Linked DNA regions of Callithrix jacchus. The protein of the gene in region 1 interacts with the protein of each later gene in a pairwise test. Links are inferred from orthologs where the notes say so. Each region holds a gene or a part of one and is shown in the gene's direction. Other genes may lie near its edges. The genes, in order: PNMA5, ZMYND19, RAD23B, CSTPP1, CCNC and PRKAA1.

The links.
Region 2: the proteins of PNMA5 (region 1) and ZMYND19 interact in binary tests that used the Homo sapiens proteins (3 or more experiments, as listed by UniProt). The two-hybrid records come from large-scale screens. The link is inferred for Callithrix jacchus from reciprocal best matches to the Homo sapiens genes PNMA5 and ZMYND19.
Region 3: the proteins of PNMA5 (region 1) and RAD23B interact in binary tests that used the Homo sapiens proteins (3 or more experiments, as listed by UniProt). The two-hybrid records come from large-scale screens. The link is inferred for Callithrix jacchus from reciprocal best matches to the Homo sapiens genes PNMA5 and RAD23B.
Region 4: the proteins of PNMA5 (region 1) and CSTPP1 interact in binary tests that used the Homo sapiens proteins (3 or more experiments, as listed by UniProt). The two-hybrid records come from large-scale screens. The link is inferred for Callithrix jacchus from reciprocal best matches to the Homo sapiens genes PNMA5 and CSTPP1.
Region 5: the proteins of PNMA5 (region 1) and CCNC interact in binary tests that used the Homo sapiens proteins (3 or more experiments, as listed by UniProt). The two-hybrid records come from large-scale screens. The link is inferred for Callithrix jacchus from reciprocal best matches to the Homo sapiens genes PNMA5 and CCNC.
Region 6: the proteins of PNMA5 (region 1) and PRKAA1 interact in binary tests that used the Homo sapiens proteins (3 or more experiments, as listed by UniProt). The two-hybrid records come from large-scale screens. The link is inferred for Callithrix jacchus from reciprocal best matches to the Homo sapiens genes PNMA5 and PRKAA1.

The regions. Positions count from the first base shown.
Region 1 is NC_133524.1:149,110,610-149,115,657, reverse strand, and holds the start of PNMA5 (paraneoplastic antigen-like protein 5), read left to right. Parts: upstream 1-1,693; 5' UTR 1,694-1,777; intron 1,778-3,534; 5' UTR 3,535-3,662; intron 3,663-4,105; exon of another isoform or gene 4,106-4,249; intron 4,250-4,346; 5' UTR 4,347-4,408; intron 4,409-4,601; 5' UTR 4,602-4,706; coding exon 4,707-5,048.
Region 2 is NC_133502.1:185,938,850-185,943,769, reverse strand, and holds the start of ZMYND19 (zinc finger MYND domain-containing protein 19), read left to right. Parts: upstream 1-1,875; 5' UTR 1,876-2,135; coding exon 2,136-2,186; intron 2,187-2,352; exon of another isoform or gene 2,353-2,715; intron 2,716-3,674; coding exon 3,675-3,734; intron 3,735-4,166; coding exon 4,167-4,289; intron 4,290-4,503; coding exon 4,504-4,610; intron 4,611-4,920. UniProt on the Homo sapiens protein: May be involved as a regulatory molecule in GPR24/MCH-R1 signaling.
Region 3 is NC_133502.1:155,688,143-155,692,557, forward strand, and holds part of RAD23B (UV excision repair protein RAD23 homolog B), read left to right. Parts: intron 1-3,139; coding exon 3,140-3,275; intron 3,276-4,415. UniProt on the Homo sapiens protein: Multiubiquitin chain receptor involved in modulation of proteasomal degradation. Binds to polyubiquitin chains.
Region 4 is NC_133511.1:111,993,836-111,998,710, forward strand, and holds the start of CSTPP1 (centriolar satellite-associated tubulin polyglutamylase complex regulator 1), read left to right. Parts: upstream 1-1,378; 5' UTR 1,379-1,463; coding exon 1,464-1,509; intron 1,510-4,875. UniProt on the Homo sapiens protein: Regulator of the tubulin polyglutamylase complex (TPGC) that controls cytoskeletal organization, nuclear shape, and cilium disassembly by balancing microtubule and actin assembly.
Region 5 is NC_133505.1:105,583,185-105,587,599, reverse strand, and holds part of CCNC (cyclin-C), read left to right. Parts: intron 1-1,244; coding exon 1,245-1,300; intron 1,301-2,111; coding exon 2,112-2,147; intron 2,148-2,831; coding exon 2,832-2,923; intron 2,924-3,556; coding exon 3,557-3,624; intron 3,625-4,415. UniProt on the Homo sapiens protein: Component of the Mediator complex, a coactivator involved in regulated gene transcription of nearly all RNA polymerase II-dependent genes.
Region 6 is NC_133503.1:164,812,460-164,816,874, forward strand, and holds part of PRKAA1 (5'-AMP-activated protein kinase catalytic subunit alpha-1), read left to right. Parts: intron 1-237; coding exon 238-724; intron 725-835; coding exon 836-962; intron 963-2,761; coding exon 2,762-3,006; 3' UTR 3,007-4,415. UniProt on the Homo sapiens protein: Catalytic subunit of AMP-activated protein kinase (AMPK), an energy sensor protein kinase that plays a key role in regulating cellular energy metabolism.

The DNA.
Region 1 (5,048 bases):
GTGAAGAAGGTGGTGTCTGCAAATGTCTTGCTCAGTGACCTTCAATGTAAAATGTTTTCTGTTTTTAAGACATTTATTAAAACATTACCCAAGAAAGCTTGCTCTTTTTTTAATCACTAATAAAGAAACACACATATATTCTCTCACCACAGGTCCATAACTTCTGGCCCTGAAGCGTAATCATAGCCTTCAGACCATTGCTACACACAGCCTGGGCAGGGGTAGGCAGCAAGTCACCCGGCTTTCAGCAGAATCAGTCCTGCACTAGGCCTCCTCACTGAGAACTTGCATTTTTTAAAGATTGCCAGGGTATTTGTGTGCATCTTGAAGTAGGCCGTGAAATCAGGAGAATAATGGGAGAATAGAGTATTTTCAGTCATCTGGCTCTAAGTAAGCAGAAAAAAAAAATTATGGCCTTGTGAAATGCAGGCCGTAGCTGTATTTTTTACCTTCCTACCCCAGAACGCAGTCCAATAAAAAATACACAGGTGCTATGAGTTTCAGGTAGTAAGTAGGCTCACACCCCCTATTCATTATACGTGGCCTATATGCTGCACCCAGTGATGTGAACCAGGTCCTTCAGACACTGCTTGGGACACCACAGCTCCCCTCCAGTGGAAAAGAACCACAATGGCTGCTGGGACACATGGTAAATGAAGAGCCTGGGTGCCACCGTCGTCTAGCTAGTAAACTACAGGCGTGGGAGGTAGTCTGCAATGGAAGTGGCACCCAGTTGTTTTTATTGTCTGTTCTAAAAGGTGCGGGCTGGCACAGGCTCGCACGGGTGGTAGTGGGGTGGTGAGGACCCGTCGCATGGGAAGTAGGAGGGTTTGTGTCATAGGTGAGGAACTGTGAGTGGGCTGTGTGGAGTTACAGTGGGGGAGGGGGCGGTCATCACCCGATAGCCTCTTCCCGCGTCAGGTTGAAAAGGGGTGTGTGACTTTCAGGTAGTACACACGCTCACTTGGCCTATTTGTTACACATGGCTTATATGTTGTACTCGGTGATTTGCACCTGGCCCTTCACACACGGCTTGGTACGGCATAGCTCCCCTCCCACGGGAAAGAAACAGAATGACTGCTGGGTGACGTGGCAAGTGGGGAGAATAGCTGCCGCCATCGTCCAGTCAGTAAACTATAGACTTCCGAGCTAGTATGCAATGGAAGTAGTTCCCAACTGTTTGTATTGTATTTCCTCAAAGGTGAAGGTTGGCGCAGGCCGGCACAGTCTGGCAAGGGTTGGGGTGGGGTAAGGAATTCTTGATAGGGAAGTAGGAAGGTTTATGTGGCCACTGCACAAATGTGAAAGAGCCGTGTGAAGTTTTGCTAGGGTGGGGGTCATCACCCAAAAACCTCTTCCCGCCACAGCCTTTAACAGGATCTGTGATGTTGAGGTAGTACGTGTAGTCATGTGGCCTATTGGGTACATGTGGCGTGTATGAAGAGACTGGTGCTACCGTTGTCCAGCCAGTAAAGTACAGGCATCTAGTCTGTAATGGAAATGGCTGCCAGCTGTTTGTATTGTATGTTCTCAAAAGTGCGGGCTCGAACTGGTGGGGTGGGGGTGAGGAGTTGCTTGGCGCGGGAAATAGAATGCTTTATGTCACTAGTGCGCAACTGTGAGTGGGCCGTGTGCACTTCCGCTGGGCGGGGAGGCGTTACCAGACAACCTCTTCCTGTCATAGCCTGGAGGCGCATTCGGCACAGAGGCGGCAGCCGCCTTAGACGTGTGGTGGTCGCGCTGCGCGATCACTCCAGCTTACAGGCCTTTCTGACAGGTACGGAGCTGGGCCTGGTCATACAAAGCAACCTAGATTAGGGGGTATATCGCCAATAACTTGCTATTTTCCACAGGGCCTAGGAGTTGCTATCCATAGTTTTCCAGGCAGAACTTCTGGGAGACCTTAGGCTGGGCAGGCCGAGACGGGTGTATCACTTTAGGTGAGGAGGTATAGCCTACCCAAGATGGTGAAACTCCGTCTCTACTAAAAATACCAAAATTAGCCGGGCATAGTGTTGGGGACCTGTAATTCCATTTATTCAGGACAGTGACGCAGGAGAATAGGTTGAACCCTGGAGGCGGAGGTTATGCTGAGCCGAAATCATGCCTGCTGCACTCCAGCGTGGACAGCAAAGGGAGACTATTCGTCTCAAAAAGAAACAAATTAAAAAATACTTTCTGGAGGCCTGTTCCACCCTCAACTCTTGACCCTTGTCCGTGCAGAAGAGCGGCTTCGGATCTTCTCTCCTAGATCCTGCCGCCTTCCACTGGTGCTGGTAGTTGGTTTATGTAGATAACAGGGTAGAGATGGAGGGAAACGGGAACGGACGTACTGGATTTCGGTACAGGGGGTTAGACTTGTATGGCGTAAGTAGTTGGGCTTCGTGAGTGGTCACTCATTGCGGTACGGATTTGACTCTGGGTGCGGGCAGGATTGAGTTACGACTTAGACATGGGTGGGGGCAGGGTTGAGGCACGAGTTCGACTGTGGGTGCCTGCAGGATTGAGGTAGGAGTTAGACATTGGGGCACGGATGATGCACGACTTTGACTGCGTGTGGGGGCAGGGTTGAGGTAGGAGTTAGACATGGGTGGGGGGAGGGTTGAGGCACGAGTTCGACTGTGCGTGGGGGCAGGGCTGAGAAAGGAGTTAGACATGTGTGGGGGAGGTTTGATGCACGAGTTCGACTGCCAGTGGGGGCAGAGTTGAGGCACGAGTTAGACGTCGGTGGGGGCAGGGTTGAGGCACGAGTTCGACTGTGGTTGGGGGCAGGGTTGAGGTAGGAGTTAGACATGTGTGGGGGAGGTTTGATGCACGAGTTCGACTGCGAGTGGGGGCAGGCTGGAGGCACGAGTTGTACGTCGGTGGGGGCAGGGTTGAGGCACGAGTTCCACTGTGGGTGGGGGCAGGGTTGAGGTAGGAGTTAGACATGGGTGGGGGGAGGGTTGAGGCACGAGTTCAACTGTGAGTGGGGGCAGGGTTGAGGTAACAGACGTGGGTGGGGGCAGGGTTGAAGCACGAGTTAGACGTGGGTGGGGAAATGGGTTGGATTTCGTGCTGGTTGGGATTGCGGTAGAGGTGGATCTTAGGTGTACGCACGTGGACCTTGGCAACGTGTGGTGGTTATGGTGAGGTAGCTAAGCGATGCAACATGGCTGCAATGCCGTAGCTTCCGATCAACATGGCTGCAGGGGCGGAGCTTCGGACAACATGGCTGCAGGGGCGGAGCTTTGGAGCGAGTAGAGTTTGCAGTGGGGGTGGGACAACAACCTTATCCTACGATCCCTTCTGTCCTATCAGCAGCCCCCACCAGCCCCCACCCTCCACCTCCCTCACCATTCCTTCCCATACTCCCTCTTTCCGCACCCCTCCCCCTTCCTCCCTCCTCCTCCCTCTGCCAGTTGAGCAGTTTCTTCTGTGGCTGCGCCAGAGTACTACTGGACACCTTTGCAGAATCACAACTGCCGTGGCCTGAGCAGAGACGTGTGTGTGGGACACAATCACAACAAAATACCTCTGCTTTGCCTTGGACAGATCCAGAGAAGCAAGACCCGTCACTGCTAACTCAGTAGCTGCCTAACTGGACAGAGCTGAAGAGCGCAGCAAGTGTGAAGTGGCTGTTATTGCAGCTTCCACGCTGCTAGCAGAGCCAGCCCAGCAAGGTGAGCAGCTGTGAGGTGGGCTCTGGTGGGAGGGACTCTGGAACCTTGGCAAAGAGTGAGGAGACAGGACTCACTGCAGGGTTCGCAAACTCTGCAGGATAGGGCCATCGCTAGGGCAAGAGTTGTTCGTTTCCTGCAGTCTGGCAGTAGGGACCTTATCTGCGTCCCTTTTCTGCCCGATTTCACCTTCCACACAATTTAAACCATGAACTCCTGTCCTTCTTTGAGCACTCACTCCTCATGCCTACCTCCCCTTTCCTCACCTACCCTCCTTGTTGCTAGGATGCTGTATTGGATGAAGACCGATGACATCACCTGTTGCTTCTCAAGGGCCTTAGCCTCACCACATGACACTACCATACAATAGCAACCCATGGTCCATGGTATGCTCTGTATCCATGGCAACACTGCAGTTTCTCACACAATCTCCACACCCACCACTCATTTCATTGCGCAGAGCTCCGGCCATCTTTCTCCTCTGTCAGGCATTTCCTGAGAAACACGGCCACTCCACCTCTCCTGCAGCCAGCCTTCACTTCCATTCCAGCAAGGAGGGTGCCAGGTGACCTGAGCCCACATAGCCCTGAGTGAGCAGTGGGGCAGTCTCCTGACTTTTGCCTGGAGGGCTTGTCAGTGTCCTCAGGTGTCAGGCCCTGCCTCCTGACGTTGGCCTTTTCACTACAGGCACCTGCAGCACACCCGGCTGAGTCCTCTGGACATCGAGGAGGAACCCACAGCAGGAGGAGGTCAGCAGGGAGTGTGGTGAGGTGGGGGGATCTTTGCCTGGGGAGACCCACCACACTCTGTTCTCCACACAATGACTTGAGCCTTGGGTAGCAGGGACTCCATCCCTGCTGGGGGTGGGGGCAGAGGGAGGGGCACTTGGGAGTATACGTTGGGGTGGGCATTAGCAATGCTCTTATCCCATTTGCTTTGCAGGCTGTGGAAACCTGTGACACTCCTGCCTTCCTACGTGGCAGTGGCTCAGAATCCTTTGAGTGCTGTCAAACCGAGCTGATTGTCGGTCCTTAGAAAGTGGGAGTAATGGCGGCAACACTGCTAGAGGATTGGTGCAAGGGGATGGACATGGATCCCAGAAAGGCCCTGCTGATCGTGGGCATCCCCGTGGACTGTAGTGAGGCGGAAATTACAGACACTGTGAAGGCAGGCTTGCAGCCCCTGTGCGCGTACAGGGTGGTGGGGAGAATGTTCAGGAGGGAAGACAATGCTAAGGCAGTCTTCATTGAATTGGCTGACACTGTCGATTATACTACTCTGCCTAGTGAGATACCGGGAAGGGGGGGCTCCTGGGAGGTGGTGGTAAAGCCCCGTAACCCAGATGACGAGTTTCTCAGTAGACTGAACTACTTCCTGAAAGATGAGGGC
Region 2 (4,920 bases), on another chromosome or scaffold:
ATGGTTCCTACACGACCTCCTGCCACAGTCACTGGACTGGTAGCAGCCCCTTACTGCCTCACACCCCCAGTCTCTTGCTAGTGTCTTCTCTCAAGCTAACAATTTGGACTTTCTTGGTTCACTGCGAACTTGTCTCCCAGGTTCAAGCGATTCTCCTGGGATGTCTCCCCGGAGTAGCTGGGATTACAGGCATGCGCCACCACGGCAGCTACTTTTTTATTTATTCATTTTTTTTGAGACAGAGCCTCTCTCTGTCACCCAGGCTGAAGTGCCGTGGCTCGATCTTGGCTCACAGCAACCTCTGCCTCCCGGGTTCAAGTGATTCTCCTGCTTCAGCCTCCCAAGTAGCTGAGATTACAGGCGCACTCCACCACACCTGGCTAATTTTTGTATTTTTAGTAGAGATGGGGTTTTTCCATGTTGGTCAGGCTGGTCTCAAACTCCCGACTTCTGAGATTATAGGTATGAACTACTGGGCTTGGGGACACCAGTGCTTTTCAACTACCCTAGGGAGGACTCATCAAGCTCGTCTGTGTGGCCCCACGTCTTTTCACAAAGCAGTTGCTCATAACCTCATCACACCCTGGGAACTCTATAAAGTAGGACAGGTATGTTTTGAGCTAGGCTTCGCCTGAACCCGGATGTGTGTCTCAGGCAGCCCCTTCTCTTCTCTAGGGTGCCTGGGGGTACTGGCAAGTACCAGGGGACCTAGAGGTGGAACGTCTGGGCTGATTCATGAAAACCTTTTGCAGGCTGGGCATGGTGGCTCACGCCTGTAATACCAGCACTTTGGGAGGCCGAGGCCGGAGGATCAGCTGAGGTCGGGAGTTCAAGACCAGCCTGACCAACACTGCAAAACCCTGTCTCTACTAAAAATACAAAAATTAGCCAGACGTGGTGGTGCATGCCTGGAATCCCAGCTACTTGAGAAGCTGAAGCAGGAGAATCTCTTGAACTCGGGAGGCAGAGGTTGCATTGAGCGGAGATTGTGCCACTGCCCTCCAGCCTGGGTGACAGAGCAAGATTCTGTTTCAAAAGAAAAAAAAAAAAAGTCGGGGGGTTAGAAGACAGAAGCCAGCAAGCCAGAAAGAGGCCTGTGCAGCTCCTCAGGTGCCGGAGTCGCCCCTGAAGCAGGGTGAGGGCTGCCGGCGGCGACTGGACACCGCGGAGCAGGACGCAGCATCCGGCCCCGTTCGCTCCAGGCTGCAGGGCAGGCCACGCTGCCCACCACTGCGCTCCCGGCCTCCCTGAGCGGGTCTCGGCTTTCCCCGGAGCCTAACGGGCCTCACTGGAGTCTGGGACCACCACGGCCTCTGGAGTTCCGTTTCCTGACGCCTTAGACCAGGCTGCTCCGGCGGCCAGCCGCCCTCCGGGTCGCGTGGGCCAGGGGTCCGCGGTATCTCCAGGCACTCCCGCGTCCCGAGGCAGCAGCCTCTTCCTGGCCCGCCTCGCCCGCTCCCCTCCCGCTCAGCGGGCCCCGCACGCGCTCCGTCCGCCTCCTCCTTCCGCAGTCGGGGCCAGGACGGTGGCGGGAAACAGCATACGGGGGCGACGGCGAGGGAGGCGAAGGGCGGCCGGCTCGCAGAGCTCCACGGGCCCGGCGCGAGTCCCGGGCCGCGGCGCGCATGGCCCCTCCGGGCGCGGCGCCGCCACCCGCACAAAGCTTCCCGCGAAACTGACGTCGGCGCGCGCAGGCACCGCCCCCGGCCTCGCCCCTCCCCCGCGCTCGCCTCGCTCCTCAGCGCGCCGGCGCCCTCTCCCTCCTCCCATTGGTTGTTACAGAGCGGCGCGCGCCGACCGGCGCCGTGCGCGCCTCCCGATTGGTAGAGCGGCGGCGGGCCGGGGGGTGTGTCCCGGGCCGCGCCCCGCCCCTCCGCTCCGCTCGCGGTGGTGCGCGCGGTGGCGGCGGCGGTAGCGGCGACGGCGCGTGGCAGGTCCGGCGGGCGCGAGGCGGCGGCGGCGGCGGCGGCGGCGGCCCGAGCCCGGCCCAGCCTCGTCCCGCCCGGGGCCCGCCTGGCTGCGACCCCGACCCCGGCTGCGGTCCTGTCCTGCCCCGGCGCGCCGCGGCCTCGCCCGGCCCCCGCCCGGCGCCTCCCGAGGGAGCGGCGCTGCCGGCCAAGAGCGCAGGCCCGGCCATGACCGACTTCAAATTGGGCATCGTGCGGCTCGGCCGGGTGGCCGGAAAGGTGAGCGGCGCGGAGTGCGCGGCCCGGCCCGGCCCATCTTGCCCGTCCTGGCCTCCGCGCGGAGCCGGGGGCGGTTGTGCGGGCGGCGGCCGGGGCGGGGGCGCGGAGCCCGGGATGAGCCCCGGCGGGGTGGGGGGCGCTGCGCGGGCCCGACTGCCGGCCCCGCGCGGGTGCAGCTTCCTCCCGCAAGGCCGGTGGGCACGCACCTCGGCTCCGGGGCGCACCTGGCCGCCCTCGGCCCTGCCCTGCCGCAGGTGGAAGCCACGGCCCTGTCTCGAGCCAGGTGCGGAGATGCCTGACTTGAGCCCGGCCGGTGTTCATCCGGAGCCCTCCCCGTGGTGCCGGCGAGCCGGGGCCTAGTGCGGTGTCCGGGCTGCTGGAGCGGCCACACGGTTTAAACACAGCGCCCTTTCGAGGCAGCGCCACCTCCACACCTCTCGCCGAGGCGGGTCTGGTGTGGGCTCTTCCGTGCCTCCCAGTTCGCAGCAGGGCTTCGGGCTCGTTTTAACGCTGCCAGGCCTTGGCCAAGGTAGGCTGAGCCTCAGGCTTAGAGCAGAGAGGCAGGAGCCTGGGTCCTGATGCTGCAGACTCAGGGCCTTCCCCTACTTCTCCGTACCGGTCCTCACGTTTCACGATTGGGGCCGGGGCTTCCATGCCACCTGTAGGCACTGAGGCTTGGCGGTTTCTGGAGCCACCTGTGCAGCTGCACCAGCCAGGTTCTTGCCTGGATAGGAGCCCTGTTCCCATCACCAGTGGCTGCAGCTTTTCTGGTGGGAGAGAGGAGTGGAGGCAGTGGCAGGCGGCGTCAGGTCAAACAGGTTCAGATCCCAGAAAAAAAAAAAACGTCGAGAGAGAGACTGGTCGGTTCCTGGAGCTGTTTCTGTTTCCTGCCCCTGCTCCAAGAGCATAGGTAGGGCCTACTGTGGAGGAGGCTTTCCCACCGGGGAAGGGTGGGCTCCCCAGTCAGGTCGAAGACCCGAGACCCCTTCCAACTCTGCCACTGATGGCATTGTTATCCCTTATAGCTTTTCTTTGGAACATTTTGGGTGGACAGAAAGCTAAAAAGGGGAATTCAGTGAGTACTTCAGCTTAATAAACACACCCTAATCAAAACCTGGCTTTTCTGCCTCCGTCCAGGCCCCTCCCTCAGCCCAGTGAGTTCGCCTCTGCCTAAGTGTATCGGTGCGTTAAATGTTGGGTGCCACTGTTGGGTTAGGCCTGCGAGGATGGGGCCTGATACCGGCTCCTCTGGCACAGACTAAAGTGGGCAGCTGGCTTGTCACCGGTCTGCCTGCGTTTTTGCACAGGCTGCACGACCCCAAACTGCAGAATGAGACCCCCACGTGCTGAGCTGCCTTCCTCTGAAGAGGCCTGTGGTTACTTCCTACTTCACAAGAAAATGCAGCAGGCTCCTGCCTGTTATGGGTTATAAGGCTGCTGCACTTCAGGATCCCAAATGTAATGGTTTGAAACGTGGTTACTTTCCAGACCAAATACACGCTGATCGATGAGCAGGACATCCCGCTGGTGGAGAGCTACTCCTTTGAGGTGAGTGAGGATGGCTGTTCCCTCCCCTGATGCTTGTGGTCAGTGCTCAGGAGAGTCATGAGGAGCTCTGTCCCCTGTGCTGCAAGAGCAGGCGGCCCCACAAGTGGATATCTGGTGCCAACCTGTGAGCCCTGAGCCCTCAGCTGCCACATCCAGCGGTGGGCCTGCAGACCCTGGCTGTCGCTGCCACCAGAGCCCTTGCAGCCTGATGACACGGCCTTCCCTCACTTTCACCCTGTCTGCCAGCCCTTCTTGAAAGCAAATAGTGTGTTCTCACGTTTGTAATCCTGTCACGTGGGCCGTGTCTGTTAGCTTGGATGACCCTGCTCCTTACAGCTGGCCACCTATGCTTGGCCTGCCCTAGCAGCCCCTCCAGGTTGCCCAGCTGCCTCCCGTTCTCTGCTCTCATGGGGTCTTCCTGCCTCTTCCCAGCTTCCGTTCCTGCCACTGAGCTCGGCCTCCCTCACCACGCTTTATCTCTGCGCCCCACACATTCGCAGTCGTGACTTGTCAAGGGGTATCTCCATCTTACTGCACTGTGGGCTTTTTTTAAGGGTAGGAAAATGTATTGAATAGAAGCATGGTGGGGGGACACACTGGGCCTGGGGCCATGTGCCTGTGGGAAGCGCCACACTCCCCAGGGTCTCAGGGACAGGGCTGGCATTTGTCCCTCAGGCTTGCCTGTTTCACGTGGGTTTTCTAAGAGGGATTTGAGGTGTTGCTGAGAATTGGAGCCTTTTTAATAGCTCTTTTCCTTGTTCCTTCTCAGGCCCGAATGGAAGTAGATGCTGACGGAAATGGCGCTAAGATATTTGCCTATGCCTTTGACAAGAACCGAGGAAGGGGCTCTGGGAGACTCCTTCATGAGCTGCTGTGGTGGGTGTTTCAAAGCTGCCTCTGCCCCCTGCCACAGGGCTCCTGGGTGAGCTCTGATGGCACAGGGTGCCTGGAGCCCCCTGCCCCGCCGAGGCCCTGCCTTGCCTTCCCTGAATTTCGCATTTATTTTTGTGTCCTTTGTCACTAACCTAGAGGAACGAATGATTTGTATATTGCACTTCAGACACCAAGTGGACTTTCTGCTGGGCGCTTGCCCAGGACCGGTGGCTTCTGGAGGGAGAGTGGGGTTGCTCCCCTTGCTGGGTCTTCACTGAGCCCCCCAGTGTGCATGGTAGGGGCCACTCAGATG
Region 3 (4,415 bases), on another chromosome or scaffold:
AGGGGCAAATTTTTAATCTAGTGGTCCAACATTGTAGTAGCTTTTTAGGTACCACAATGCATGAATTATTCAGAGCAGAAATTTCAAGCTTGAAAGCCCAGGCCAAATTCTTTTGCTCATACTGTGTATATTTCTGTGATAAATTGCCAACTTTTTAAAAACTGGGAAATTTCACATAGAAGTACAGATTTCTGATTTATCTGGACAACTTTGATTTCAGATTTTTGCAAGAGATTTAGGAAAATATTTTAGATTGTGGACTCTAATTCATTATCCTCTGATTCACTCTGTTACCAATATAATATCATGCATTTAATGAATGATGTTACTTACCTGGTTCCATTGGCATTTGAATTTGTTTTTATAGTCAGGAGTTGAGGGACTTTTTGAATAAGGTCATCTTTTTTTTACTGGTAATGAAAGTTTTTGAGAAATAGAGTATTGTGGACATTGACTGAAACCCTTGGTATGAAGATGAAAGTCTGCTATTTTTACAGATGTAACACAGGCTAAAGTGATTGAAATAACTTTTTTTTTTTTTTTTTTTTTTTTTAAGATGGAGTCTCACTCCGTCACCCAGGCTGGAGTGCAGTGGCGTGATCTCAGCTCACTGCAACCTCCACTTCCTGGGTTTAAACAATTCTCCTGCCTCAGCCTCCCAAGTAGCTGGGACCACGTGCCACCACGCCGGCTAATTTTTTTTATTTTTAGTAGAGACAGGGTTTCACCATGTTAACCAGAATACTTTCGATCTCCTGACCTTGTGATCTGCCCACCTCAGCCTCCCAAAGTGCTGGGATTACAGGCGTGAGCTGCTGTGCCCGGCCTGAATTAACTTTTTAAAAATCTTAGATTTTTATCTTATAATTGTTTTTGGTGTTTTGGAGTATTTTTTCTAAGTCTGAATTGCCCAAATATCATCTTAGAGTTGCATGAGTCTAACTCTTTTGGGAATTATGTCCACAGTTTAACGCATTCCTTTGTGTCTAGTTTATACTTCTGTTAGGAACTCCTTTCAGGTAGCTAGCTAGTTTCAGAAGAGTCCAATATAAGCCTCATAACTGTACTCTGCCTCCACCATTTATTGCCCATGCATTTGCTTGTGAAGTTCTCAAAACGGTTTCCTAGCATATTATTTTATCTTTTTCAATTCACTTTTTCATTGTCGTCTTGAGTAGTGTCTTTAAATGGTGGCAGTTTATCCAGTTTGTGTAGAATTAATAATTGTTGTGAATTTATTTGGCGAGGAGTACATAGCCTAAACAGATTGTATAAAAGTATTAGTTTTTTGGAGTGGCTTTCATTTACATCTGATTTTTAGAATTCTGCATAAGTTCAACAGTATCAGTTATTTTGATCTAATGGACATGGAGTTTTGAGGTATAAAATAAAGAAATCAATGTCACCAAAGTTGCCAAATGCTAAAACTGCTGTATAGCATCAAATGCAAATAAACAGATGAGACATGAGTTCATCAAACAATTTATAACAAATATTTTTTATATATTTGCTGTTTGTTTCATAGACGGGGGTGGGGAGCTGCCTTTAACTGTTAATAGTTAACAGGTAAATTGAATGGATGGAAGGAAGAAATGTTGATCCCTTATCTAATAAGAGGCGTTGTAATGTGTGAGAATAGAGGTAGATATATAGCAATGAAGATTAACTTTTTAGTTTAATAAATTAAACAGAATGTGATGGATGCTCTGGACCCTAAATTTATGTGTAGTTTGTTGCCACTTAAATAACTGCCCATTGAAGTTAAGGGTTTGAATTGGTGAACTCACTCAGAAACATTTGTTTTGATGCCTGGAGTGGCATCTAATGCATGCAGCCATATTCCTGCTCTTCCTCCTTTATATGTTGTTGCTTTTGGCTTCTGGCTTATTAGGAAATGGAAGCATTTATCATCTTACTCAATTTTAATACTTAGTTCTCCTCTTTTCAGAATCTATAAGAACGTGATAAAGACTTTTTAAAAATTTTAAATGACAAGTCTGTCAAATCATGTGCATCAAAATAGGGTGTCCTAAAAGATTTTAGTGCATGCAGTTTTAAGCTCCAACAACTTTAGAAGATAAATACTACACACTTGCAGGAGGATCTCCTCTACTGATCCATGGTACTGACAAACTGTCACTCAGAAGGTATATCATAAATTTGAGATACTTTTGAGTAAAGTGTTTCTTTGAGAAAGTGTCACTCAGAAAGTAACTGATAAAAAATTAATTTTTCGGCCGGGTGCAGTGGCTCACGCCTGTAATCCCAGCACTTTGGGAGGCCGAGGCGGGTGGATCACAAGGTCAAGAGATAGAGACCATCCTGGTCAACATGGTGAAACACCGTCTCTACTAAAGACACAAAAAATTAGCTGGGCATGGTGGCGCGTGCCTGTAATCCCAGCTACTCAGGAGGCTGAGGCAGGAGAATTGCCTGAACCCAGGAGGCAGAGGTTGCGGTGAGCTGAGATCGCGCCATTGCACTCCAGCCTGGGTAACGAGCGAAACTCCGTCTCAAAAAAAAAAATAATAATTAATTTTTCAAAAACCACAAAATTGATTTAAAATAAATTGAAACCATTTAGTTTTCAGAGGTGAAAAATATTTTTTCCCCAGGAGTCATTTTAGAACTGTCAAGACGCCCATCAAAACTTCTTTGTTTGGATTATCTTAAGCTAAGATTGTACACTCAATCCTTTTCATCACTAACAGCTGATGAAGATTTCTAAGAAGTTAAAAAGTCAACTGAAGTAATAATAAGTAGCACTAAAACCTTTGGTTATGTTCTGTTTTAAGAAGGTACATGTATAGATAGTTTTCGAACTAGAATAATTATCTGTGCCTGGTAGGCATCTAATTGGACAACAGAGACTATTTTTCCATCATCATGGAAAGTTCTGTTGGTCAGTACTGCTTTGCATTATTATAGCAATGTGGGTTTTTCTATAATGCAGCCAGGTCGTTTCTAATCTAATTTGAATCCATACAGGTTAATAATCCTTTACTTTTAATTGAAGCAGGCATCTGTTTGATGCTTTTGAAAATCAGATAACATGTTAAATAGACTATAAATCTTTTACTCTATATAATATTGAATTTTGCATGATGGGATATCTTAAAGCTTGGAAATTTTGTTTTAGGGAATCCCTGGAGATAGAGAAAATCAGGCTGTGGTTGACCCCCCTCAAGCAGCTAGTACTGGGGCGCCTCAGTCTTCAGCAGTGGCTGCAGCTGCAGCGACTACAACAGCAACGACTACAACAACAAGTTCTGGAGGTAAATTGGAATCTTTGGATGGAGAGGGAATGACCCTGAATTATTAGTGTAAGATAATTTAATCTGAAATGCTTCAGAAATGAGGTTCATTCCCAGAGCAGTTGTGTAACTAATGTTTGAGAAAGGCCCAAAAGAAACTCTCCCAAGTGGATATAAAAGGTATCCTTGCTGATATTAAACATCAGTGCTGCAATTTTGTCAAAGGGCATATTGTTGTATTTGTTCTAAGGAAGAGATGCTTTCCAGTTTGTATGTCTAATGGCATTCAGAAGGGTTTGCTCACTTTGTCTCTTACTCTCTCCGTAAATGTTACAAAGTGTATGTGATTTCAAAGCCAGCAGGATTTTAGCAGTTATACAGCCAAGGAAATGAAACCTTGAGAGGTTTAAAACCTTGTGTCTGGGAGGAGAAAGCAAAGCTAACATTCAAGTCAAATGTTAATAACCAAAGTCTTCCTTACTCGGGTACTGGCCATACCCACACATTGCTATGGGTCTGACTGTAGAGCAAAGCCTGGAGCCTGCTTAGTAATTATGTAGTGTTCTCCTTCATTTGTTCTTGTGTATATTAATAAAGTAAGCTGTTGATTTTGGAAAAAGCCATTCTTTCATCCATTTCTTAGCTCTGATTATGATAGTCACCTCTGGATGGCAAAAGTCACTAAGTGCTTTGTGTAGTCTCCAGAGGACAGGCCTGTTTGTTGAGATTCAGCATGGTAGTGGAAAGAGATGGCCACAGCTTTGCTTTGGATTTGGGGTCCTATTCCTTTCAGCACTTATTAGGTAACATAGTCTGTAAATCTCATTACCTTCCTCTATAAAGCTAGTATTATATAAGGAAGAACAAAAAACCCATATGATGTGACTATTTTAATTTGAATGATTGTCTTCCTGAATAGGAAATTACAACATACATCTAAAAATTCTCTTTTATTCATTAGTAACCTCAAAAACATACTTTCTTTATGTATAATTTTTGGTTTCCTGTAACAACCAGATAAGTACTGGCACCTTGAAAAAGCCACAAGTTCTGTATTTTATTTTATTTCTTATTTGGCATTATTAACATTTACTATTGTGAATGGATTTTAGACTGAAAAGCTCTAGATATATTAGTACTAGATTACCATACGGCTTATGT
Region 4 (4,875 bases), on another chromosome or scaffold:
ACTAAAAAAGTGAGGACACAGTGGCTTTTTCTGCTAGGTCTGAACTGTGTCAAGTGCTACAGATCTCTTACCTGTTGTCAGGAACGGAGAGGGGCAAAAAGAAATATTTGGGAACTTGAAAACCATTGACTATTCCCTTAAAGGAGAAGTGAGCAATTGGGCATATGGGGGGAAAAAATCTAATTTGTATCCTTGTTTCTGCAGCCCCTCCCACTCAAGTGAAATGTCTTGGTAAGAAAAAGGAAAGACACTTGGGAAGGGTACCAAATAGTAAGGGGTAGGAATAGAAAGAAGAGGCCGGGTGCAGTGGCTCACGCCTGTCATCCCAGCACTTCAGGAGGCCGAAGCGGGTGGTTCACAAGGTCAGGAGATCCAGACCATCCTGGATGACACGGGGAAACCGTCTCTACTAAAAAGTCGGGCGTGGTGGCATGCGCCTGTAGTCTCAGCTACTTGGGAGGCTGAGGCAGGAGAATTGCTTGCACCCGGGAGGCAGAGGTTGCAGTGAGCTGAGATCGCTCCACTGCACTCCAGCCTTGGTGACAGAGTGAGGCTCCCTCTCAAAAAAATAAACATAAAATAGAAGAACCAAAGATAAAAAGGAATTGAGGCCGGGCACGGTGGCTTACGCCTATAATCCCAGCAGCTTGGGAGGCCGAGGCAGGCAGATCACCTGAGGTCAGGAATTCGAGACCAGCCTGGCCCACATCGCGGAACCCCGTCTCTACTAAAAATACAAAAAATTAGTCGGGTGTAGTGGCGGGTGCCTGTGCTCCCAGCTACTCGGGAGGCTGAGGCAGGAGAATCACTTAAACCCTGGAGGCAGAGGTTGCCACGAGCCGAGATCAAGCCGCTGCACTCCAGCCTGGGCGACAGAGCCAGAACGGAGAAGAAATGGCAATGATCTCAGAGGACTTAATGAGTACCTTTTGTGTATCCAGCAGTCATAGGCATAAAAGACACACTCCTGACCTCTAGAAGCAGCTAGGGTATATGCATACGTAAGCACTTTGCAGCAATTTAAGATAGTAAATATCAAAGAGCTAGAAATAGGTAACGGGTTACTAAGTGTTTATGAGGGCCAAAGGGTGGGGGCTATTAATGAGTTAGGATAACTGTATAAAAGCAGGGATAGTTATGAAATTCAGTAACTCCGTGTATGGGCGGCAGACAGTAATTCTTCGACATCGGGAAACAACGGATTCAAAAGAATTCTGCATCTCCGATTCCTCTAAAACCAAGTCTTCAAGAATGGGAGTCCAAAGAAACCTGGACCGTCGTGAAGCGACTGCCCTCGGAACTTGAGTGGCCAGCTCCACTTTGCTACACGGAGACTGTTTGTGTGACACCTCCTCCGGGTCCCGCCCCCTCCCACCGCGTGGGTGCCATGGTAACGGAGAGAGAAGGCAACCTGAGTTCCGGAAGCCGGAGAGCTGGAGCTTTGAAGCTACCCGGGTCAAAGGATGCTGAGTCCCGAGCGCCTAGCCCTGCCGGACTATGAGTATCTGGGTAGGTGCCCCCTTCAACTTTGGGGAAAAAAAAGATGTGCAGACGAATTAGGCCGGGGTCTGGGAGGAGGCGGGGGCGGGGGCGGGGTTTGTGTGGGATCGGGTCCGGGTGGAATGGGGAGGGGCGGAGAGGCGGGGGTTCCAGGGCCTGAGCCCCTAAGGCCGAGCCGGGAGGAAAAAAGCACCTGGGGAGTAAAGAATGTTTGAAGTGTAGGGGCTGGAACTCAGGCAATGTGGATTGTGTTCAACTTGGGTCAGGTTGGAGTTAAGGATTTGGGGCTCTGTTGGGGTATTACTGATATGCTGGTAGTGGAGTAAGAATAACCTTGGAAATTCAAGTGCCAAATCAGTCATTCCTCAATAACTGTCTTACCGTTACAGCGGCAGCAAACATTTCCAGCTTTTCTTTTTCATTAGGCACTGTGCTAAGCATTTTACATGCATTATTCTTTATTTGAACTTCTCAACAGCCCTAGGAGAAATTACTGTGTTTTCTTCCAGTTTTGCAGGTGGAGAAACTGGGGCTGAAGAGGTATCTTGGCATAGGTTAGGCCACACAGCTAGAAAATGGTAGCACTAGGATCAGAACTGGATTTGCCCACTCCAGAACTTGAGACCTTGACTTAGCTCTTGAGCTGAGACTGTATGTGTAGTACTTTGTTGAGCATCTTTAGTGTATAAGGAATTTAATGAATGAAAAAGGCATACGCCCACATAGATATGCACACACACATAAATGCACACAATACACATTTTAAATAATTCATAGACTTTTTTTTTAAGGGAAGTTTTAAGTTTACAGAAAATTGACTAGATAGTACAGTGAGTTCCCATACACCTTGGGCCTCCCTCATTCACAGTTTCCTCTATTATTATTATTATTATTATTATTATTTGAAACAGCCACATTCTGTCACCAGGCAGGAGTGCAGTGGCGCAATCTCTGCTCACTGAAACCTCTGCCTTAAGCAGTCCTCCTGCTTCAGTCTCCCGAGTAGCTGGGACTGCAGGTAAGTGCCACCACGCCCAGCTAGTTTTTTGTATTTTTAGTAGAGGCGGGGTTTCACTATGTTGGCCAGGATGGTCTTGATCTCTTGACCTTGTGATCCACCTGCCTCAGCCTCCCAAATTGCTAGGATTACAGGTGTGAGCCAGTATGCCTGGCCAGATTCCCTTATTATTATTTTATTTATTTATTTTTGTGTGTGTGTTTTGGGATTTTTAAATTTATTTATATTTTTTATTGCATTTTAGGTTTTGGGGTACATGTGGAGAACATGCAAGATTGTTGCATAGGTACACACATGGCAGCGTGATTGATTGCCTTCCTCCCCTTCACCTATATCTGGCATTTCTCCCCATGCTATCTCTCCCCAGCTCCCCACCCCACACTGTCCCTTGCCTATTTCCCCCCAACAGACCCCAGTGTGTGATGCTCCCCTCCCTGTGTCCATGTGTTCTCATTATATTACTGCAGTACATTTGTTACACTGGATAAAATAACTAAAGTCCATAGTTTACATTAGGGTTAATTCTTTATGTTTTTCAGTTCTGTGTCTTTTGACAAATGCATAACATCATGTATTCACCATTCCATTGTCATACAGAATAGTTTCACTGCGCTAAAAAAACCTCTGTGCTCCACCTATTGATCCTTCTCCCTCCCCTGCAGTCCTTGACAACCACTGATCTTATTGTCTCTAAAGTTTTGCCTTTTCCAGAATACCATGTAGTTGGAGTCATACATAGTGTGTAAATTTTTTCAGATGGGCTTCTTTAACTTAGCAGTAAGCATTTAAGTTTCCTTCATGTCTTTCTGTGGCATGATAGTTTCTTTCTTTTTGTTGCTGAATAATACTCCATTGTCTGGAATGTACTATGCACATCTTTTTTTTCTTCTTTTTTTTTGAGACAGTGTCTTGCACTGTCACTGAGGCTGGAGTGCAGTGGCACAGTCACAGCTCACTGCAGCCTCAACCTCTGGACTCAAGTGATCCTCCTACCTCAGCCTCCCAAGTAGCTGGGACTGCAGGCACATGCCACCATCCTGGTTAATTTTTTTATTTTTTGTAGAGACAGAGTCTCACTATGTTGTCCAGGCTGGTCTCGAACTCCAGAGCTCAAGGAAGCCTCCTATTGTGGCCTTCCAAAGTGCTGGGATTACAGGTGTGAGTCACTGCACCTGGCTTACATCTTTTTAAATGAAAAACAATTCTGGTTTAAATTTTTTTTTTAAACTTATTTTAAAAATGAATTTAAAAATATTTTTTAAGGTGGGTAATATGGAAACTTGATTCAAAATATTTTTTAGGCCTGGCATGGTGACTCCTGCCTGTAATCCCAATACTTTGGGAGGCTAAAGTAGGAGGATAGCTTGAGGCCAGGAGTTCAAGACCAGCCTGGGTGACAGAGTGAGACCCTGTCTCTAAGATGGATGGATGGATGGATGGATGGATGGATGGATAGATAGATGTTTATAGTGAAAAGTCTCCTACCCCTTTGCCTCCATCTGCCCAGTTGCCATCCATCCTCAGCCCCCTAAAAGTAACCACTATTGTTTTCCTGTGTGTCTTTCCAGAGATTATTATATACATAAAGGAGCATGCAGCATACACCTTTTTCATTTAATACATTTCAAAGCAATTTCTTTTCTTTTTTTTTCCTAAGATGAAGGAGTCTCACTCTGTTGCCCAGGCTAGAGTACAGTGGCACCATCTCGGCATACTACAACCTCCACTTCCCAGGTTCAAGCCGTCTCCCACTTCAGCCTCTCAAGTAGCTGGAACTGCAGGCACAAGCCACCACACCTAGTTAAGTTTTTTATTTTTGGTGGAGATGGGGTTTCTCCATGTTGTCCAAGCTGCTCTTGAACTTCCTGAGCTCAAGCCTCCCACCTTGGCTTCCCACAGTGCTGGGATTACAGCCTGGCCTTGAAGTAATTTCTCAGTCAGTAGGTAGCTTCTTCATTCTTTATAAAATTCATTTTTAGCTATATAGTATTTCAATAATATATATAACCAGTCCTGCATTGGTAAACAAGTTGTTTTTAGGCTTTTGCTGTTGCTAAGAATGCTGAAATGAATAAACTGCAATTTTGTTACTTTGCAAGTGTATCTGCAAGAATAAGTTCCACAAAGTGGAATTGGTGGAGCAAGGGCCTATGCACTGAAGTATTGATAGATACTGCCAGGTTGCCCTTCATAGGTGTTGTACCATTTTACACAGCCACCAGCAATGTAAGACAATGCCTGTTTCCCCACTGTCCTGACAACAAAATCCATCAAACTTGGATTTTTTTCAATCAAAGTGACAAATAGTTTCAGAGTAGATTTTTTTTTTCTTTTTTGAGATGGAGTTTAGCTATTGT
Region 5 (4,415 bases), on another chromosome or scaffold:
AACCTGGGAGGTGGAGGTTGCAGTGAGCCAAGATCAAGCCACTGCACTGAAGTCTGGCAACAGAACAAGACACTGCACTCCAGCCTGGCAACAGAACAAGACTCCATCTCAAAAAAAATAAAAGAAAATAGAGTGCATAGAAGAAATGGAATTCTTTTTTATTTTTTTCTGATAGAGTCTCACTCTGACACCCAAGCTGGAGTGCAGTGGCACAACATCAGCTCACTGCAACCTCCACCTCCCGGGTTCAAGCAATTCTCCTGCCTCAGCCTCCCGAGTAGGCGTGCTACAGACTTGTGCCACTATGCCCTGCTAATTTTTATATTTTTACTAGAGATGGGGTTTCACCATGTTGGCCAGGCTGGTCTCAAACTTCTAACTTCAGGTGATCCACCTGCCTTGGTGTCTCAAAGTGCTAATTATAGGCAAGAGGCACCATACCCGGCCAGAGATGGAATTTCTTTTAATCTCAGTGAGATCAATTGGGTTTTGTACAAATGGAAGCTGACACCAAACAGATCTTTTAGAACCTGTCAATAGTTACTTTGTTGAATTAAGTGTATTATAATGGCATGAATACAATTTTCTCAAATAGTACTTATATCTATATGCTCACACCATTTTAAGGAGATGGGGGATGGATGGTTAACATTGTTTTTTCACTTGTACTTTATTTAGTGACTAATAAAGTAATAGATAATAGAGTAGTAACTTTATGTGTGTGTGGCATTAAAGAAAACTCTAGAGACCTTTGCACATATATTAATGCTTTTATTAAAATATATATTTTAATAAATACCTGGTCATTGTAAAAAGTTTAGAAAATGGTGTACTATCCTCCCAATATTTTATATGTATATTTTTGATCAATTGTATATATTGTAAACACATACATAACCCCTGCGTTCCTTCTAAGCTCAGTCACTGGAAAACAGGAGAATACCATTCTGTAGTTGAAAAGATTTTAGAAATGATAAAAGTGATTTTTTTTTCTGATCTTTTTCTTTTTTAAACATCAGAACCCTTTCTTAAAGTAGTAAATATAAAATTAAAGCTGTCTTGGATGTCCTACCACCCAGTCTTTCCCCTTCCCTGAAATCAAAAATCTGGGTCCCTAAGTATTGCCAAGAATTCCTACTGAAAATAATCTTGCTCAACTCTCTAATATTCTGCTCTGTTAAAAGAATTTTGAGTTAATTCATTTCCCATTTTTTCAGTTTAAATTGTTTTTTTATTTTCTGCAGTAAAAACTAGATTTTCATATGCCTTTCCAAAGGAATTTCCTTATAGGATGAATCATGTAAGTATAAAAATAAAACACTTATCAAAGCTTTATATAAACTAGCTCTATTTTATATTAGACTAAATTTAATAGTTTCCTAGAAATAGCAGTTTCAGATATTACATGAATACAGACATTATTCTAAATTAAAGCTAAATAGCTTTTACCATTAAAAAAAATACTTCATAGTAGTGATTATCAACCCTGTCTGCTCATTAAATCACCTTGGGAGCTTGTATATAATATTTATGTTGGATTTTCCAGAACAACTAAATTAGAACTTTGAGGCTTGGTGCTCCCAATATTGGTACTATGTAAAAGCACCCAGGTGATAATACTATTCAGCTGGGATTAAAAACTACTTTAATGGAACAGTATGAAATATAAGGGGAATTTCTATAGACATTTTAATAGGCATGTCCTTCTTTTTCCACTTTGCAAGGGATTTGTTTATTCTCTTTAAGCTACATTGTTTTAAGTAGAAATAATTGTATTTTGCATTTGCGTAGTAGAAAGTATACTGGAAAATCTGATGTTTTTACAGGATATTTTAAATAAAAGTGAGTAATAAGAATGCTTGTGAGAAGCTGGCTTTTCCTTAAAAGGATTAAAATTTCTATAATCATAATTTGATGTGTAATAGTAAAAAGTAATTTTTATTGCATATATTGATTTTCATGTAAATTGCATTTATTGTCTGGATTTTTAAAACTTTTTAGTAAAAATTTTTGATAAATTACTATAATGTCTATAATTTATATTAGATTAAGTAGACTTATCTAATTTGGTTTCAAGTTGACATTTCATTGATAGTCTTTTCTTTAAACAGATATTAGAATGTGAATTCTATCTGTTAGAACTAATGGTAAGTATATCTTCTGTGATTAATAGATTAAAACATTTTCAAATTTAATGAAGTTGGAAATTATTTAAAGAAATGATATTAGGGAGATACATTTTAAAGCCATCCACCTGATATGTGATAGTGAAATCATGGTAGCCTATTTATATTAGCGTCTGTATTCTCTCTGAAGCCTGTAAAATACTTTATATATCCTACTTAGGATGGGAAAACTTTTCTATTCTATATTAAGTAACTGTAATAAAAGTATTACAAACAGACAAGTCAGGACATTAAACCACTGTAAATTATGTGCACAATTTGTGTGTGCGTGCAGTGTTATTTAAAGATAGATTATGTCTTTGGCAGAATTCTGCTCCTCCAGTTGGGAATTATGGATTTATAGGCTAATAAGAGGTTTCAGTGTGTTGCAGATGTGACACTTTGAGTCTCTAAGGGAATGAATGGATGCTGACTGACTGCCAACCGATTTATCAAGGTATATTCCAGAGAGAGCACTGCCTTCACTATTATAGTAGAGTTTAGGGCTGTCATACTGCTTGCTTAAGCAAATAAAAGGGAAGCAAGCATGAGTTAATGAAATTCACTTTGAAATAATACAATTACAAATGAGTTGGGTAATGATATCATTTTTGTGTTGTAATAAATCTGTTTTTTATACATACACATTTTTTAAACTGTTTCTAGGATTGTTGCTTGATAGTGTATCATCCTTATAGACCTTTGCTCCAGTATGTGCAGGACATGGGCCAAGAAGACATGTTGCTTCCCCTTGCATGGTAATTAGAACAGAAGTTATTAATAGTGTAACATGTTGCTAGATAGGAAGGTTGACAACTAAATATGAAGTTCAGTATTTTTAAAGTCATTAAACTATTGCCCCAAGATATTTTGTGTTGAGCAAAATACCACTTTTTTAATTTTAATAACTGTAGTGGAGTAAATAACAAAATGAAAACCATCCTAAATTATCTGTTCTATAAATATACTTATTAAAATTTAATTTTATATGAAACAGACTGGTAACATAAAAATTAAGACTGAAGCTATCTTTAAAGTAATCAGAATACTTTTTGGTAGTATGTAACGTACATATACATTTACTGTTTAACTTCTGGTTTTTTAATTTGATTTTCTGATTTTTAAAAAATTAGAAAAATGTGTTTGTAATTTGTTATGAAATTTTGAAATTTAAAGTATATTTAGCTGTAATTTTATTCGTTGATATGTGTATTTGTTGTCACATTCATGTATCTATCCTTTTGCCTTGATGTTTTCACTTTTATAGCTGTGCTTCAGTAATATAAAAGGAAATAAATGTGTACAAAGATGGGAAATCTGGCCCTCTCTGGAGGAAATGTACAGATGAGGTAGATCTGCTTTCAGTAATAATATGATTTACATTTCTATAGGAGGATAGTGAATGATACCTACAGAACGGATCTTTGCCTACTGTATCCTCCTTTCATGATAGCTTTAGGTATGTAAGCATGGTGGGCCTTTATTAGTTAAATTGTTATAAACCTATTTAGGTCATCCTAAACTAAATTTCACCCTATTGTACTTTATGTTTTTATCTTCCATGAAGTAATAGACTAATCCTTGCATGTGAACTTTCAATAATATGAACTGCAACTGACACAAATCAGGATTATTGTTCCCCCACTCCCTTTTCTTTGGTTAAGTTTTTTGGTTTTTTTTTTTTTTTTTTGAAACCATTCAAAGTAGTTTTAATCAGTGTCTGAAAAGAATGTATTTGTTTGTTTACAGGGAAAAGTTCAGAATTAAGCCAGTATTAGTTGTAGCGTGTAAAATAATTGGGCCTTTCACCTCCTGAACCCAAACAAGTACTCAGAGGTTGAGTAAAGGAGCATTTGTGGTCCATAATGCCTGGCTAGAGACAGAAGTCAGCTACATCAGCTACATTCATTCTACTGTCTGTGGAAGGCAGTGCTGTAATGGGTGGAGTCAGATAGTTCTAGGCTTAAACTTTACTTCCTTTACAATTGTGGGAAAATTATCTGACCTTTCTGTGTTTGGGTCCTTAATTGTAAAATGGAGAGGATATTAATGCCATAGAGTCATTTGAAGAATTAAATGAGATAGTTTGTAGAGCACCAAATAATGCCTGCTATATATTGGGCACTTGTTAATTTCTTTTCTTTTCCTTTCCCTTCTATTGATTTTTTTTTTTTTTTTTTTTTTTTTTTGAGACGGAATCTCACTCTGTCTCCCAGGCTGCAGTACAGTGGTGTGATCTCGGCTCACTGC
Region 6 (4,415 bases), on another chromosome or scaffold:
GGCATGAGCCACCGTGCCTGGTACATTCTCCGTCTTAAAACTGGAGGAAAACTGGAGCATTTCCCTCAACATACACGATGAAGTGTGAGCAGAAGAGGAAACTTTCAGTGGAAAAAGTGATAATAATATAGTATGGGTATAAATATATATTAATTCATAATCTAAATTCCTCAAACTATTACTCTTAGTCTCTGCTCTATTCAGAATTCTTCTCCTGATCTTGCCATTCTCTCTCAGGGAACATGAATGGTTTAAACAGGACCTTCCAAAATATCTCTTTCCTGAGGATCCATCATATAGTTCAACCATGATTGATGATGAAGCCTTAAAAGAAGTATGTGAAAAGTTTGAATGCTCAGAAGAGGAAGTTCTCAGCTGTCTTTATAACAGAAATCACCAGGACCCTTTGGCAGTTGCTTACCATCTCATAATAGATAACAGGAGAATAATGAATGAAGCCAAAGATTTCTATTTGGCGACAAGCCCACCTGATTCTTTTCTTGATGATCACCACCTGACTCGTCCCCATCCTGAAAGAGTACCATTCTTGGTTGCTGAAACGCCAAGGGCACGCCATACCCTTGATGAATTAAATCCACAGAAATCCAAACACCAAGGTGTAAGGAAAGCAAAATGGCATTTAGGAATTAGAAGTCAAAGTCGACCAAATGATATTATGGCAGAAGTCTGTAGAGCAATTAAACAATTGGATTATGAATGGAAGGTAAGAAAGAAGTAACATTTTGATTATTAGCATATTTGGCAAACCCGTATTCTATAAAATATTTTATAGAAGAACTACTTTTGACTTTGATTTTGTTATACCATGTGCTAGGTTGTAAACCCCTATTATTTGCGTGTACGAAGGAAGAATCCTGTGACAAGCACTTACTCCAAAATGAGTCTACAGTTATACCAAGTGGACAGTAGAACTTACCTACTGGATTTCCGTAGTATTGATGGTATGTACATCACACAAACAATGTACATTAGACCTTGTTACTAACTTGGTATTTTATTCTTTGATTCTTTTGAAGCTTCTTGACTTGTTCCTAGTAATTCAGTTGCAAAGGAATAGAAAATGTGACTTCTTGTGCCTTTGCAGTATTAACATTTATGAGTCTTATTATTTTTGTAATCTTAATAGAATGCTGTCCTTTTAAGATTATCATCTTGTAAAATCCTTAAAGCTAGGTGCAGTCTGTTCGTAAGGTGATAGTTTTCTGCTGCATTTGTTTTTTTGGTGTGGTTCATTTTGGAAAGAGAAAATGTTTTATTTAGAAATAAATACTGACTTTCCCATGAGTTTTTATTATTAAGTAAGTTTTCAGCACTGGCCATTTCAATTGCATTGAGATACGGTGTTGAGCGTAGGTGTGGTGGCTCATGCCTATACAGTCCAGCACTTTGAGAGGCCGAGGTGGGAGGATCGCTTGACTCCAGGAATTTGAGACCAGCCTTAGCAACACAGTAAGACTCTGTCTCTACAAAATTTTTAAAAAATACAGTATCACCTTTGCTTATGGAAGGTTACATAGAATTATTAGATAAGGTTCACCTATGAATTTTTTTCTTCTTTATAAATTCAAAGATTGTAAACACATAGTAGCAGAAAGACACAGATTTGAGCCATGATATGTTGGCCAAACCGGTTTGTCTGGTTATCTTTATGTCTCTTATAGTATGGATCTGCTAACGTATACTAATACAGTCTGAAATATGGAATGGGTTTTATTTTTCTCATATGTGGATCAAATTTGCAACCTTAGATTTACTAGTCCTTCAGTATACCAATTGAATACCATTTTTGTTTTTGTATTGTGTTTCCAACTTTAGTTTTTCATTTTTGTTTTTGCATTGTGTTCTCAACCTTAGTTTTTCTTTGATTTTTATTCATTGGATTTGTTGCTTTTTTATGAAATGCTAAATGAAATATGAAGGGAAAGTGGAAAGTAAAAAGCACTGAGCTGAGAGGAGAGTTGAGTTCTAGACTAACCTTTTTGTTCATTTGTTACCTTAGGTAAATCACTTCTCTGGGTTTTCTTATTAATAAAGTGAGGGGTTGGATGAGATGGTTTCCAGTATACCTTCTAAATTTTAAGTGCATTGATTCTATGATTTTAATATAGAAGGATTTTTTTTTTGCGATAGAATAATATTTATGAATCCTTAGATTGTTAGTTTGTTGAGTTTCTTAACCTTGGATTGCAACTGATGAGTAACTATACTGTGCCCTACCTTGATTAGCCATCTTGAGAATACATACTGTATGTAAAAAAGGTGAATGGTGTAATACAGGCTCATTGCCTCTATTTTAGAAGGTATTTAGAAAAAACATACTTTTTTTTTTTTTTTTTTGAGACGGAGTTTCGCTCTTGTTACCCAGGCTGGAGTGCAATGGTGCGATCTCGGCTCACCTCAACCTCCGCCTCCTGGGTTCAGGCAGTTCTCCTGCCTCAGCCTCCTGAGTAGCTGAGATTACAGGCATGCATCACCATGCCCAGCTAATTTTTTGTATTTTTAGTAGAGACGGGGTTTCACCATGTTGACCAGGATAGTCTCAATCTCTTGACCTCATGATCCACCTGCCTCGGCTTCCCAAAGTGCTGGGATTACAGGTGTGAGCCACCGTGCCCGGCCTAATAAACATACTCTTGATAGCTGGCCAGTAGCCCCACTTAACGAAGCAAATTCAATATTGTTACAAAAATTTTGGGCGTAAGGTCATAGAGTATAATAAATTGAAATTCTTTTTACCCAGATGAAATTACAGAAGCCAAATCAGGGACTGCTACTCCACAGAGATCGGGATCAGTTAGCAACTATCGATCTTGCCAAAGGAGTGATTCAGATGCTGAGGCTCAAGGAAAATCCTCAGAAGTTTCTCTTACCTCATCTGTGACCTCACTTGACTCTTCTCCTGTTGACCTAACTCCGAGACCTGGAAGTCATACAATAGAATTTTTTGAGATGTGTGCAAATCTAATTAAAATTCTTGCACAATAAACCTAAAACTTTGCTTATTTCTTTGGTAGCAATAAGCATGCGTAATAAGTTGTAGCCAAATGATTCCATTTGTAATCAAGTTATACATAATTATAACTGAGGACTGGCGTTTGGAATGCAATTTGCACAGGGATTGGAAAATGATTAATAGTTAAAAGCCTAATATGCAGAAATCAATTAAGATCATTTTGTTGTTCATTGTGCAGTATGTATATAGGATAATATATACGTCTCTCAGGCTCACTTGATTTTTGGCTATTTTATATTTAGTGTACACAGGGCTTTGAAATTATTAATTTACATAAAGCCTTCATATATTATTACATGTTATATATTTGCTTCATAAATTTATTCAATAAATATTTGCCTAGAATTCTCAGAGACCTTTATAGGTGATTTTGTTTTCTGGGCTCTTTAACTACTTAAATAGCTGGTATCTTCCAGCATTAGTAACAATCTGGATAACTTCTTCCATATTCCCCCTCCTTTTTTTTTGAGATGGAGTCTCACTCTTGTCACCCAGGCTGGAGTGCAATGGCATGGTCTCGGCTCACTGCAACCTCCACCTCCTGGATTCAAGTGATTCTCCCGCCTCAGCCTCCTGAGTAGCTGGGACTACAGGCGTGTGCCACCACACCTGGCTAATTTTTTGTATTTTTGGTAGAGAGGGTGTTTTACTGTGTTGGCCAGGCTGATCTCAAACTCCTGGCCTTGTGATCTACCCATTCAGCCGCCCAAAGTGCTGGGATTATAGGTGCAAGCCACTGCACCCAGCCTCCATATCCCCTTTTAAAATTCCTAGTGTATGCTAAGTCATTATCAGATATCAAACCTAATTTAAATTTTATTTTAGCTTTACAAGTCCAGAAACAGAATTTATATATTCAGATACTGTAGCACTAATTTTAATCTTAAAATTTTCCCACTGTATTCTGTACACAAAATGTTCTTTTTGTTACAAGAGCTGAGTTGCACATACTGTAAATAAATAAATTAGTTTTGCCAGTTTCTTAAATTCCTCTGGCTCATCATGTCAGTCAGTATTGGGTATATGCTAACATTGCTAGTTATTTGATTATGTATCTTTGAAATTGATTCAGTGCATAGCAAGACTATCTCTTAAAATCTTTAAGTGCTTGGCTATGACTCCCCCCCCCCCCAAATTTATTATGAACATTTTTAAAAACAGAAAAATTGAAAAACTGTAGGGTAAGCGCACATGTATGTCTACCGTTAAGATTCAGCAGTTGTTAATGTTTTGTTATTTTATTCTCTATACCTACATATGTATAAAGATACAACTAGTTATGCATATATATGCATATATGTATGTGTGTATGTATATATGTCCCCCGAACCATTTGGATGTTACAGACATACTTATCACCATGAAAATACTTCAAGCATCT